Linked DNA regions of Saccharomyces cerevisiae S288C. The gene in region 1 interacts genetically with each later gene. Each region holds a gene or a part of one and is shown in the gene's direction. Other genes may lie near its edges.

Region 1 (2,802 bases):
GACTGCTGCTTTTGCCTTTGGTGGTTCAGAGTTTATTGCCATCACCACTGCAGAACAATCTAATCCAAGAAAGGCCATTCCAGGTGCGGCCAAACAAATGATCTACAGAATCTTATTCCTATTCTTGGCTACCATTATTCTACTGGGTTTCTTGGTGCCATACAATTCCGATCAATTATTGGGTTCTACCGGTGGTGGTACTAAAGCCTCGCCATATGTCATTGCTGTTGCATCCCACGGTGTCCGTGTCGTCCCACACTTCATTAACGCCGTTATTCTACTTTCCGTGCTGTCCATGGCTAACTCCTCCTTCTACTCCAGTGCTCGTTTATTTTTAACTCTATCCGAGCAAGGTTACGCTCCTAAGGTTTTCTCCTACATCGACAGAGCCGGTAGACCATTGATTGCCATGGGTGTTTCTGCATTGTTTGCCGTTATTGCCTTCTGTGCTGCATCTCCCAAGGAAGAACAAGTTTTCACTTGGTTATTGGCCATTTCTGGTTTGTCTCAGCTTTTCACATGGACTGCCATTTGTTTATCCCATCTTAGATTTAGAAGAGCCATGAAAGTCCAAGGGAGATCTCTTGGAGAATTGGGTTTCAAATCTCAAACTGGTGTTTGGGGATCTGCCTACGCTTGCATTATGATGATTTTAATTCTTATTGCCCAATTTTGGGTCGCTATCGCCCCCATTGGTGAAGGTAAGCTGGATGCACAAGCCTTTTTCGAAAACTACTTGGCTATGCCAATCTTGATTGCACTTTATGTCGGCTACAAGGTCTGGCACAAGGATTGGAAACTGTTCATCAGGGCAGACAAGATCGACCTAGATTCTCATAGACAAATCTTTGATGAAGAATTAATCAAGCAAGAAGACGAAGAATATAGGGAACGTTTGAGGAACGGACCTTATTGGAAAAGGGTCGTTGCCTTCTGGTGTTAAAAAAAAAAGCATTTACTTCTTTTATATTTATTCATTTTTGTACTTCTGTTTTGTAGTAATAGCATACGTGTAATGATAGACGATTTTCATTTTAATTCTAGTCCTTTATGAGCGAAGAAAAAAAATAAAAAGCACTAACGATTGCGTGATGGAAGTGGAGAGGAAAATATAAGTGAAATAATATGAAGTGAGAGAAAAATGATTTCCTTTTGTTCTTAATGCAACAGAAGAGGTTTGATTTCATCCGCATATGCAATTTTGCCTTAGTAGGGGTGCAACCGTTTTCGTCGTGCATCAGGAACGATCTTCTTGCCTTTTTTAAAAATCTACGTTAAGAATTTTTAATTTTGTTAAGGTGTAATTAGCATTAGAATGACTGAAGCATTCAGTTTAACCAACTTGTTCTGCGATATTTTTACTTCTGAAATAACAATGTCTGCGAGTGTTACTTGATTATTAATCAATATTTGTCAATGCTCTTCCGAATAATTTTTCAATTTGTCAGCTTTGCTCTGCGCTTTTCCTTACTGCGACAATAAATGGCAAAGGAAAAAAAAATACAGTGTCATTTGCAGATATGACACACTTTAACACCTGAGTGGGTCATCACTACTTTGTGTTTGTCTCCACCCATGTTGTGATCGAAGAGAGATATAAAGGTTGATCATTTTTGGTTTTTTAAAGCTATATACACCATCAAAATCAAGAACACCAGACCTCCAAGCCAAAGAAATGTCCCCAACTGGAAACTACTTAAACGCTATTACAAACCGTCGTACCATCTACAATTTGAAGCCCGAATTACCACAAGGTGTCGGTTTGGATGATGTAAAGAGAACTGTACACGTTATTCTCAAGAATACGCCAACAGCTTTTAACTCACAAGTGAATCGCGCTGTCATTATCGTTGGTGATACACACAAAAGGATATGGGATGCTGTTGCGAGCGCAATGCCAACTGCTGAAGCCAAGAAGAGACCAGAGTCTTGCAGAGATGAGGCTTACGGTTCAGTCATTTTCTTCACTGATGAAGGACCAACTGAAAAACTGCAAAGAGATTTTCCAGCCTTGGCAGCCGCTTTCCCAACATGCGCCGCTCATACGACCGGTGCTGTGCAAATTCAGTCTTGGACTGCCCTCGAACTATTGGGATTGGGGGCTAATTTGCAACACTATAATGACTACGTCAAATCTGCTTTGCCTCAAGATGTTCCTATTGCGTGGACTGTACAATCTCAATTGGTCTTTGGTGTTCCAACTGCCTTGCCAGAAGAAAAGACTTTTATCAATAACGTAATCAACGTTTATCACTGAACAGGAAATTCGCATATGAGGAGATCTTAATTTATCTCATGAAGTAATGATACCTCAGCGATGTGCTCGCTCGTTAGTATGCTTCATAAATTCATTATTATTTTTTTTTGGAAGTGTTTTTCGACAAAAGTTGCATTTTTACGAAGGATATGTAAACTCAAGAAGTACTAAATAAATATAAATACAATTCGAAAATTTGAAAAAAGTAGGAGACAACACTTTCCTTCCTCACGAAGAAGTTAAGCTTGGGTTTGTGACTTACTAACGTCAACGTACAATCGCGTTACAAACAAGATGCTTGCATTCTTACCTTACATTACAAGGACTTAGACGAAGAAAAAGTTCAGAAACACTGCTTACACTATTCACCAGACCCGCTCCTTCTCCTAACATCAATAACGAACAGCACTATTGATGTAAGAACGTCTTAGCTTAGTAATAAAGCTCTACCTTGTTATCGTACAATAATCCAGTATACCGCTTTTACTAATGATTATTCGAGAAAAATCGGACTGTGGCGTTTTACGTGAAAATTACGTAAAGAA
Region 2 (2,890 bases), on another chromosome or scaffold:
ATTCATGTGGGACACTAGAGATAAACAACTGATATGGCACAAAAACAAACCTACCGAGCCAGATAATAAACTAGTCGCAATAAGTGATGCTTCGTATGGCAACCAACCGTATTATAAATCACAAATTGGCAACATATATTTACTTAATGGAAAGGTAATTGGAGGAAAGTCCACCAAGGCTTCATTAACATGTACTTCAACTACGGAAGCAGAAATACACGCGATAAGTGAATCTGTCCCATTATTAAATAATCTAAGTTACCTGATACAAGAACTTAACAAGAAACCAATTATTAAAGGCTTACTTACTGATAGTAGATCAACGATCAGTATAATTAAGTCTACAAATGAAGAGAAATTTAGAAACAGATTTTTTGGCACAAAGGCAATGAGACTTAGAGATGAAGTATCAGGTAATAATTTATACGTATACTACATCGAGACCAAGAAGAACATTGCTGATGTGATGACAAAACCTCTTCCGATAAAAACATTTAAACTATTAACTAACAAATGGATTCATTAGATCTATTACATTATGGGTGGTATGTTGGAATAGAAATCAACTATCATCTACTAACTAGTATTTACATTACTAGTATATTATCATATACGGTGTTAGAAGATGACGCAAATGATGAGAAATAGTCATCTAAATTAGTGGAAGCTGAAACGCAAGGATTGATAATGTAATAGGATCAATGAATATAAACATATAAAACGGAATGAGGAATAATCGTAATATTAGTATGTAGAAATATAGATTCCATTTTGAGGATTCCTATATCCTCGAGGAGAACTTCTAGTATATTCTGTATACCTAATATTATAGCCTTTATCAACAATGGAATCCCAACAATTATCTCAACATTCACCCATTTCTCAGTTATACTATCAATGTTGGAATAAAAATCAACTATCATCTACTAACTAGTATTTACGTTACTAGTATATTATCATATACGGTGTTAGAAGATGACGTAAATGATGAGAAATAGTCATCTAAATTAGTGGAAGCTGAAACGCAAGGATTGATAATGTAATAGGATCAATGAATATTAACATATAAAATGATGATAATAATATTTATAGAATTGTGTAGAATTGCAGATTCCCTTTTATGGATTCCTAAATCCTCGAGGAGAACTTCTAGTATATCTACATACCTAATATTATAGCCTTAATCACAATGGAATCCCAACAATTACATCAAAATCCACATGCTCTACAATCAATATATTATCATATACGGTGTTAGATGATGACATAAGTTATGAGAAGCTGCCCATCGAAGTTAGAGGAAGCTAAAGTGCAAGGATTGATAATGTAATAGGATAATCAAACATATAAAACGGAATGAGGAATAATCGTAATATTGGTATATAGAAATTTCGATTTTATTTTGAGGATTCCCATACCGCCGAGGAGAGCTTCGAGTATACTCTGTATACATGATATTATAGCCTTTATCAACAATGGAATCCCAACAATTATCTAAAAATTCACCCACATCTCAATTTTAGAGTTTCATTTCAACAAAACGCATAACATATATACCAACAATGAATACTGTATACGTTTTTTACAATTTCTTTTGGAGAAAACTCCACTGCCTGTGTTGGACTTCATACGAGATTTTTTTCACCGTTGATTTGGAAACACTAGACAAATTGGAGATAAAGGCGCTTCCTTAAACAACAAGCAGACTGCTATCAAGTATAGTATACAGATCACCATTTATTTTTTTTTTCCCCTTGGTAGTATCATATACTTTTGAAAAGTTGTAGTATGACAGCTCATGCAAATGAAAGGATTAGCGATGTATCCCCTAGTGCTAGGGGTTCAAGTTCGGAATCGAAGTATGACAAGCTCTGCCGAGTTCTTTTCTTTATTGCAATTACAAAAAGCTCATTCACTCCGGAGCACATATTGTATAAGCATTCAATATTTACTGATAAGCCAATTTTAGCTGATATAGTTACTTTTATGTATGCGGCGTTTGTTTCCATTGGATGGTTTCTGATATGGGGGGAAAGAGCATACAGAACTCAAGAAATGGGTCAACCTCCAATGTACTCGAATATAAACTATCACCTTTTAAGTTTTAAGAAAAGACACCCCAAGAAATTTACATGTGCGTTATGGTTGGTATTTTTCCTTGCATATACGGTTTTGACAGTTTTAATTTGGTTAGTTCAGTTGATTTTTCGAAAAGGTAATGTTTTTCAAATGTTATTGCAACTTATTATATTAGATATCGCCATTGCATTGGTCAATGTAGCAATTGCATTCACTTTTGAAATATATCTTTCACAGAAAGCCGCTATCGAGATTCGCGACGAAGGTTTAAATAATCTTGACACCGCTTAATGGAATGGTAGTCGAAAGGTAAGAAGTACGCAGCAAATTCAACCAGAATACACACTGTACCTTTTAAAATTTTACTCATAGTAGATAATGGCATAAATCAGTGGTAAAAAAAGAATACGCATGACAAATTTTGAAAACCGTACGTGACATAAAATACCTATAATAAGATGAAGACATCAATTCTCAAGTTCCACTTTTCGCCGGTTGAGTGTATCGGTCATAGTACAAAGGCAGAAATGAATAATAGTAATATTAATCGCAGTTTCCTGTTGTTTAGAGAACTGAAACGCTTTGTGGGCATCAGGTTTAGATTAACTGCTACCCTTCTTCTGTATTTGTCTGGCCATGCTTCTCAAATAAACCGCTGCGGATAACATTTCAAGTGGTTTCTCAAGGGAGAATCATAGTTTAGCTTAACATACAGCAAATCGTCACTATCTTGACTGATGCCCGGTGTATAGAGAATGGGTAGTTAATATCATCTAGATGGGGTTTCTTTGAAAACACCAGTTTCTTTGAG
Region 3 (2,642 bases), on another chromosome or scaffold:
GGATAATGAATGACAACATAAAAAATAGAAGAAATAATAATAGTAACATTATGTGGAAATATGGGTTTCCTTGGCAGGTTCCTATATCCTTGAGAAAGAGCTTCTAATATATTTTGTATATTTAGTATTATAACTAAGCTGTTAGAAAATAAAATACCGCTAAATCAATTGAGGCGGTATTAAATACCTGTACATTTGAATATTTGGAATGAGAAAGAAATATAGTTACATAATGTACAAAAAAGAAGCAAGAAAGGAATATATATATATATATATATATATATATATATGTATATTGTTATTTAGAATATCTCTCTCTCTTCGAGAATCTCTATATCCTCGAAAAGAACTTTTAGCATATTCACGATAGGTCGTATTATCAATTAAATCAATTACGAAGTTCGGAAGTTATTGCCTACATAATATGATGTCCTGTTCATAAAAATAGAGCCCTAAGAAGTGTTATTAAATTTAACCAGCCTACAAATTAAATATAAAATGAGTGTTATTGTTCCACCGACTTGAATAATTGTACAACTTTAGCTAACATTTTAACTAATATTTTAACGCATCTTATTATCAAGTATTGTAACAATACGTATCATCTTACTATCTCAATGGAAGCATTCTCTTATACATACTGAGTCAAATATCTTGAAGACTCATTATAATGTGTAATAAAAGGACAAAGCAGCGTAGAAGCCTTAAATAACTATGCACTTGGACACATGTCTTCTCACGACGTGTTCAAATATAATGATTTTTCAATCAGCTTTGAAGTTCAATACAAACTTCTTCACTAAAGGATAATAAGCAATCATTATTAATGGCAAAATCGGTTTTCAATTTCTTTCATTTTGAAATATTGGAGTATTTAAACCGTTTTGTGTATCATTCACAATACTTTCTTCCATACTACTGCTCTCTTGAAGTTCTTGGGAAGAGCCGAAAAAATTGGACATTTCAATATTGGTGCTTATACATTACTACTGACAAGAAGATAATAAAAAAGAAAGATTTCTATCACCGATAGTGAGCTCTTTAGAAAACTGAACGCAATAAATTTTATGCCTCATAACGTCTTGGGGCGCGAGAATTTACTGACGTAAACAGATCCGGCTCAAAAAGTCGTCTTTACCTTTCTATCATCTCGTCGCATAATTATTAAATTAACTCACAATTTCTCACAATTTATATCATGCCTTTTTTGTCAGTTCGTGGCCTTGCCAGTGGAGATATAACAACTACTTCGTAAAGGGTCCCGAAAGAAATGAAAGAATTACTCATTTGATATAAAAATTTGCATGGTATAACAGAAGTGAAACGCGGGGACAACCATGATCTTTTTTGAGTAGGATAATTTTTTATGTCGGTTTGATATATTATAAAGCAAGTCATATATAATATCATACTGATTTTAACCAAACGATAATCAATCAGAAAAAGAAAATAAATAAAAAATCTAGCACATAGTATTTCAGTACCCTTATGGTTCTGACCTCAGAAATTATTCAGCCGCTTGTTATCTTATAGTACGTTTTATATCGTAATTTTCCTGACATTTTGGGCAGAAATCCTTTACTCCTGATATAATAAACGACGTTTTTTTTCCTGTGTTTTTTATGTTACTATAAGAAATGCAAAAAAAGAAACAATAGAAAAAGGCAGTGACAAAAATACTAATCAGAACGTTGAAAACAAATCAATAGTTTTGATAATGGTAGCATCATCGATCAATGAAGAATCCTCTTTGGCGGTAAACTTGACAAGCGATGTAGAGAAGGCTTCGAAAACTTTGTTTAAGGCATTCGAAAAGTCATACGCAAATGACTACTTGATGAAAAAGTTCTTCCATATCCCAATCACTGAAAAAGTTTCAAGGGCAAGAATAAATGCAATGATACATTACTACACGACGTGCTACCATGACTTGGATGGTGAAATTGCTGAGGCAAATGATTTCGATGCAGTCGCAATATGGAGCCGCCCTGGGTGCCACTTGCCTGCTACACTATCTGACGACGAGTCTTTCAATAAGATTTTTTTTTCACGACTTGACTGTGAGGAAGCACGAAGTCATGCCTCTGGGAATGGACTATTACTACCTTTATGCCATCGGAAAAGATCCTAGCCATCCCGAAATTAGAGGTTCAGTCAGAAAAATACTCGAAAAATATAAAACCAAAGCAGACAAGGCCAATTGCGCCCTTGCTCTCGAGGCTATTTCGGAGCACGCAAGATCTGTGTACGAATATTTCGGTTTCAAAACCTATTTGGTGTTTCAGTTCGGGGTTGGAGAAGTGAACTCCAAAGGAGAACCCGATCCGCAGGGGAAGGGATTCACGGCCTACTTGATGCTCTACCACAAAGATGCAGACACCATCTTTCACGCCTGATTTTCTTCTAAAAATTTTATAGACATTTATTGTATGTATGGAGCATATAGCAACAATAAAACTTAGACCAACATTTTTTGCCGGGTCACAACCCCCTATCCCGGCTGCGAGAAAGGAAAAAAAAAAGTATCAGACAATTGATTATCAAAGAGTATGTGAAACTACGCTTTGTTTTCCACTTCAATTGGTAGGCATGTCAATACGTCTCGTTTCTTCATTGGAAAACTCTTCATTTCAAGGATAAAC
Region 4 (4,356 bases), on another chromosome or scaffold:
AAAAGTATCTATTAATATTGAATATTTTCATGAGCTCATTTGCTATGTTCAATAAAAGAGAAAACGTCAGACTAAGGTCATGGTATTTATTTACAAGATTCTTGAAGTTGACAAGAATCAATTTGAAAAAAATCCTCTTTGCCAACAAAAATTTGGTTAATGAAATAACTAATAAGATAAGTCCTCTACTTCACATAAAAGTAACATCTATCAACGCCCAAGGGACGGATGACAATGATACAATTTTTGATAATCAGTTGTACATATTTGAGGGTATTGGGTTTATAATCACATTGAATAATAGCAGTCAGGAGCTCACTGCTGCCACTGCCAACACCCCCATCGATTACGATATATTGGACCAGATATTAACTCCGCTATTTACACAATTAGAGGGTTGTATTACCCAAGGAGCTTCGCCAGTTGTGATTCTGGAATGTCATCACATTCTTATGGCTATTGGTACTTTAGCGAGAGGTTTGCACATTGGTCTCGTCCCTGAGAATCAGGTCAACAATATGGTTGTCAACAAAAAATTAATCAATGACTCTTTAATCCATAAATTCTCTAATATAGCTGAGGTTATATTAGTAACATTCTCTTTTTTCAATAAGTTCGAAAATATCCGCGATGCATCTAGGTTTACCTTTGCCAGGTTAATTCCAATTTTAAGTAATAAAATTTTACCATTTATCAATAAATTGATTGAATTGATCTTATCGTCCACAGATTTAAAATCATGGGAGATGATTGATTTTCTTGGGTTCTTATCTCAACTGATTCATATGTTTCACACGGACACAGACTGTTATCAGCTGTTTAACCAGTTACTTACTCCGCTTATCAACAAAGTCCATTCTATTATCGAAGAGATTGATGAACAACACGACCAACAATCAAGCAGTAACAAACCTATAGACACTGCAGTCACAGCCACCTCCGTAAATAAGAATATCGTGGTCACCGATTCGTATAGAGATAAAATACTATTGAAAAAGGCTTACTGCACATTTTTACAGTCATTTACTAATAATTCCGTCACTTCGATACTATTGTCAGATATAAACAGAGCAATCCTGCCGGTCATATTAAACGATTTGGTCACCTATACGCCGCAAGAGATCCAGGAAACATCAATGATGAAAGTGTCACTCAATGTATTGTGCAATTTTATCAAATGTTTTGGGAATGGGACCTGCTTGGATAATGACGACATCAATAAAGATCCCAACCTTAAAATAGATGGTCTCAACGAATACTTCATCATGAAATGTGTCCCAATAATCTTTGAAATTCCGTTCAATCCAATATACAAGTTCAATATCAAAGAAGGGAATTTCAAAACAATGGCATATGATTTGGCAAGATTACTGAGGGAGCTATTTATCGTCAGCAGCAACCCCACCACAAATGAGAATGAATGTGTAAAATATTTAACTCAGATCTACCTTCCACAAATCCAATTACCACAGGAATTGACGATTCAGTTGGTTAATATGTTAACCACAATGGGTCAAAAGCAATTCGAAAAATGGTTTGTAGATAATTTCATTTCTGTTTTAAAGCAAGGTCAATAGCTTTCAGGCGCAGAAAACCTGAAAATAAAAAAAAAATGCAAAACGAGAGTAAAAGTTGTAATTATATTTATACTAATATTTAAATTGGTAATATGTAATTAGACTTATCATTCACTTTGGTTTAGCAGCTAGTCATGTAATGGCACTAAAAGTGCTTCTTTATCTATTATTTATACGTGACATACCATTACTTCTATGTATTACGTAAAGAATGACAAACGTTTAGTTTTTTTAATTTCAAAGAAATCGTTGGAAGGTTCAAAAAGGATCAGGTGAGATATTAGAGTATATGAATGTTTCAGTCTCTAAGCTACACAAAGAACTAGCATAGTAGGACTTTAACCCATACAATGGAACTCAACGACCCTTCAATTATATCAAGCAGCCAGTTTTCAGGTGAATTGTCTGACAGCGATACTGCAGCCGCTACTCACAAATCGCAACAAGCCATCTCAAATTTATTCCAAAAATTAGCCAAAAAGGGCAGAGAAGAGAAGCCAATCGGTAGCGTAGAATCTTCAACTGATAGCTCTAACATTTCTGTTGCTACGAGCGGTAACAATAAAGAAAGCAATAAAAAAAAAAATAAGAAAACGGCCATGCTAAATTTCAGCAGTTTGACGGACCCTATAACGAACTACAAACCAATGGATCTGCAATACAAGACATATGCATACTCCATGAATGAACTTTATCATTTGAAACCATCTTTGGCAAGTGCTTCGTACGAAGAAGACCCACTTATTTCGGAACTTGTGAGGAGTTTACCCAAAAGAAAGTTTTGGCGATTGCGCATGGGACCTCCAGATCAAAAGCATGCTAATAACCATCATTTTAATGGGAACAATGGTGGAGGCAGTTGGAAGGCTGGTTACAAGAATGGGAAAAACGATGAGAGAAGAATGAGTAGAACCAAAAACATGCAGGGAGGCAAACGAAGATCTCAACAAGATGATGAAGAAAAAAAGATTGACCAAGAAATGCTGGAGATGGACAAGAATCTTCAATTAGGAGGTGACGTCGGCCATTCAATTGCAGATTTTGAAGATTGGAAGGCAAAGATGAAAGAATTAGAATTGAAAAAACTTTCAAAATCTAAAGGAATCAGTAACTCTACCGCAATTGCTCCCAGGGAAAGCGCCTCTCATGAAACACCCACCGATTTAAGACCGGTCATTCCAAGGGGCCCTAGTTCAATAACAGATTTTTTGAATTTAAAGAGGCAAGATAAGAAGGAAGAATCTTCACAACAAACACCTGGTATTCCTGTTGGACAGCCAAGCCTATCCAAAACCAGTATAGAACAAGTTAACGAATTAGAAACTAATTCAGATTTGGGTAAAAGTTCATCATCTCGGTTTTCATCATTTTTCAATAAATCTGCCACTTCGTTGCCTTCATTAGATAATAATAATCAAGTGCCATCGTCAAACGTGTCTGTAGTAAACAACGATGGCAACAGTACACCTCATCAAAGTGGTTCAAGACTGATGTCGTTTTTCAAAGAATCTAGATCGAGCACTCCAAATGCAGAATCGCAGTTGTTATCAGCCTCAGACAAAGATAATGGAAAGATGCAGACTCTTCCGCAATTCCAGCAGCAACCGCAACAAATGCAACCAATGGCATTTACCCAGCATCCTCCTAATAACAACGCATTTTTCAATGGGCTATTGAATAAAGGTAAAAGTGAAACTAGTACTCCTCCTCCTCCACCCCCAGGACTAATTGCTCATCAGGGTCCACAATTTCCTGTGATGGGTGTACCACCAAATTTTCCACAACGCATGATGCCACCGCCACCAGGTCTCGTTCAATTCCAGAAAGATTCTAAAGATGTAAATAAGAAGGAAGACAGGCAATTAAGGCAAAATAAAAATCCAAACGGAACAAGAAATAGCAAGGGAAAACAAGAGGAAACAGCAACGCCAGATCTGCCTCAACAGCAATACATGCCACCACCCCCACCTCCAGGGTTTTTTCCAATGCATCCTAACTTTCCTAACGGCCCAATGCCACCATTACCACAGGGGTTCCCAATCCCACCAAATGGTATGTTACCGGTAACAGGACAACAGCCACAGCCACCTTATCCAAATATGATGCTACAAGGAAATTTCCCCCCTAATTTCCAGCAAGGTTTTGGTAGTAACTCCCCTATGCCAATTCCATCTATTATTAATGCCAATGGCAAAAATGTTACAAACCAGTTACCACCAGGATTAAACTCTAAAAAGAATATAAAATGAGATGCGTAACGAGCGAGTACTTGACAGGAAACGACAAAAACACAGTGAACATACTATCTAAAAGCATGTTCTTTTCCTTTTCATTTTTCATCTTTATTATCTAGAGTTTGTATATAACATGTATCCTATATTATCTTATCCTATCATCATCACTTAACTTGTTATAATTCTCCCATATACTTATGTTTTCGCCTTTGATATTTACTAGTCGAAGGAACTTTTTTCGCAGTTAGTAACGTCACGCTCGGAACTAAACATTAATGAATGAGATGCATTTTTATACAACACTTTTACAGGCTATATACAACTAAGTGATTTTCAATACATTAAAACTACCAGAATGGACACCAACCGATATAATGTTGGCATAGGTTTTCCACTGATGTGGCTTGTTGGATTAGTTTATCCACTTGTTCTGGAACGTCCAAGTCATTAAACCTTCTTATATCGTTCCCCGTTAATTTGTCAGTAATGCGCTTCAATACCAACATGGCCCTTGCATTTCGAATGGCATTCTTGTGCTCGTTTTC

The links.
Region 2: mutations in FRM2 (region 1) and YPL257W together harm fitness less than expected from each alone (positive genetic interaction), as found in Saccharomyces cerevisiae (one large-scale study listed by BioGRID).
Region 3: mutations in FRM2 (region 1) and YOR012W together harm fitness more than expected from each alone (negative genetic interaction), as found in Saccharomyces cerevisiae (one large-scale study listed by BioGRID).
Region 4: mutations in FRM2 (region 1) and EAP1 together harm fitness less than expected from each alone (positive genetic interaction), as found in Saccharomyces cerevisiae (one large-scale study listed by BioGRID).

The regions. Positions count from the first base shown.
Region 1 is NC_001135.5:74,159-76,960, reverse strand, and holds FRM2 (type II nitroreductase), read left to right. Parts: upstream 1-1,675; coding exon 1,676-2,257; downstream 2,258-2,802. Other genes in the region: amino acid transporter AGP1, read left to right, coding at 1-943. UniProt on the Saccharomyces cerevisiae protein: Type II nitroreductase, able to reduce 4-nitroquinoline N-oxide (4-NQO) into 4-aminoquinoline-N-oxide (4-AQO) via 4-hydroxyaminoquinoline (4-HAQO), using NADH as reductant. involved in the oxidative stress response.
Region 2 is NC_001148.4:61,491-64,380, forward strand, and holds YPL257W (uncharacterized protein), read left to right. Parts: upstream 1-1,788; coding exon 1,789-2,370; downstream 2,371-2,890.
Region 3 is NC_001147.6:354,826-357,467, forward strand, and holds YOR012W (uncharacterized protein), read left to right. Parts: upstream 1-1,717; coding exon 1,718-2,131; downstream 2,132-2,642. Other genes in the region: YOR011W-A (uncharacterized protein), read left to right, coding at 827-1,033.
Region 4 is NC_001143.9:51,777-56,132, forward strand, and holds EAP1 (Eap1p), read left to right. Parts: upstream 1-1,927; coding exon 1,928-3,826; downstream 3,827-4,356. Other genes in the region: Ran GTPase-binding protein LOS1, read left to right, coding at 1-1,577; phosphatidylinositol kinase-related protein kinase TOR2, read right to left, coding at 4,159-4,356. UniProt on the Saccharomyces cerevisiae protein: Can regulate translation through binding to eIF4E. Competes with eIF4G and p20 for binding to eIF4E in vivo and inhibits cap-dependent translation in vitro. Plays a role in cell growth and is implicated in the TOR signaling cascade.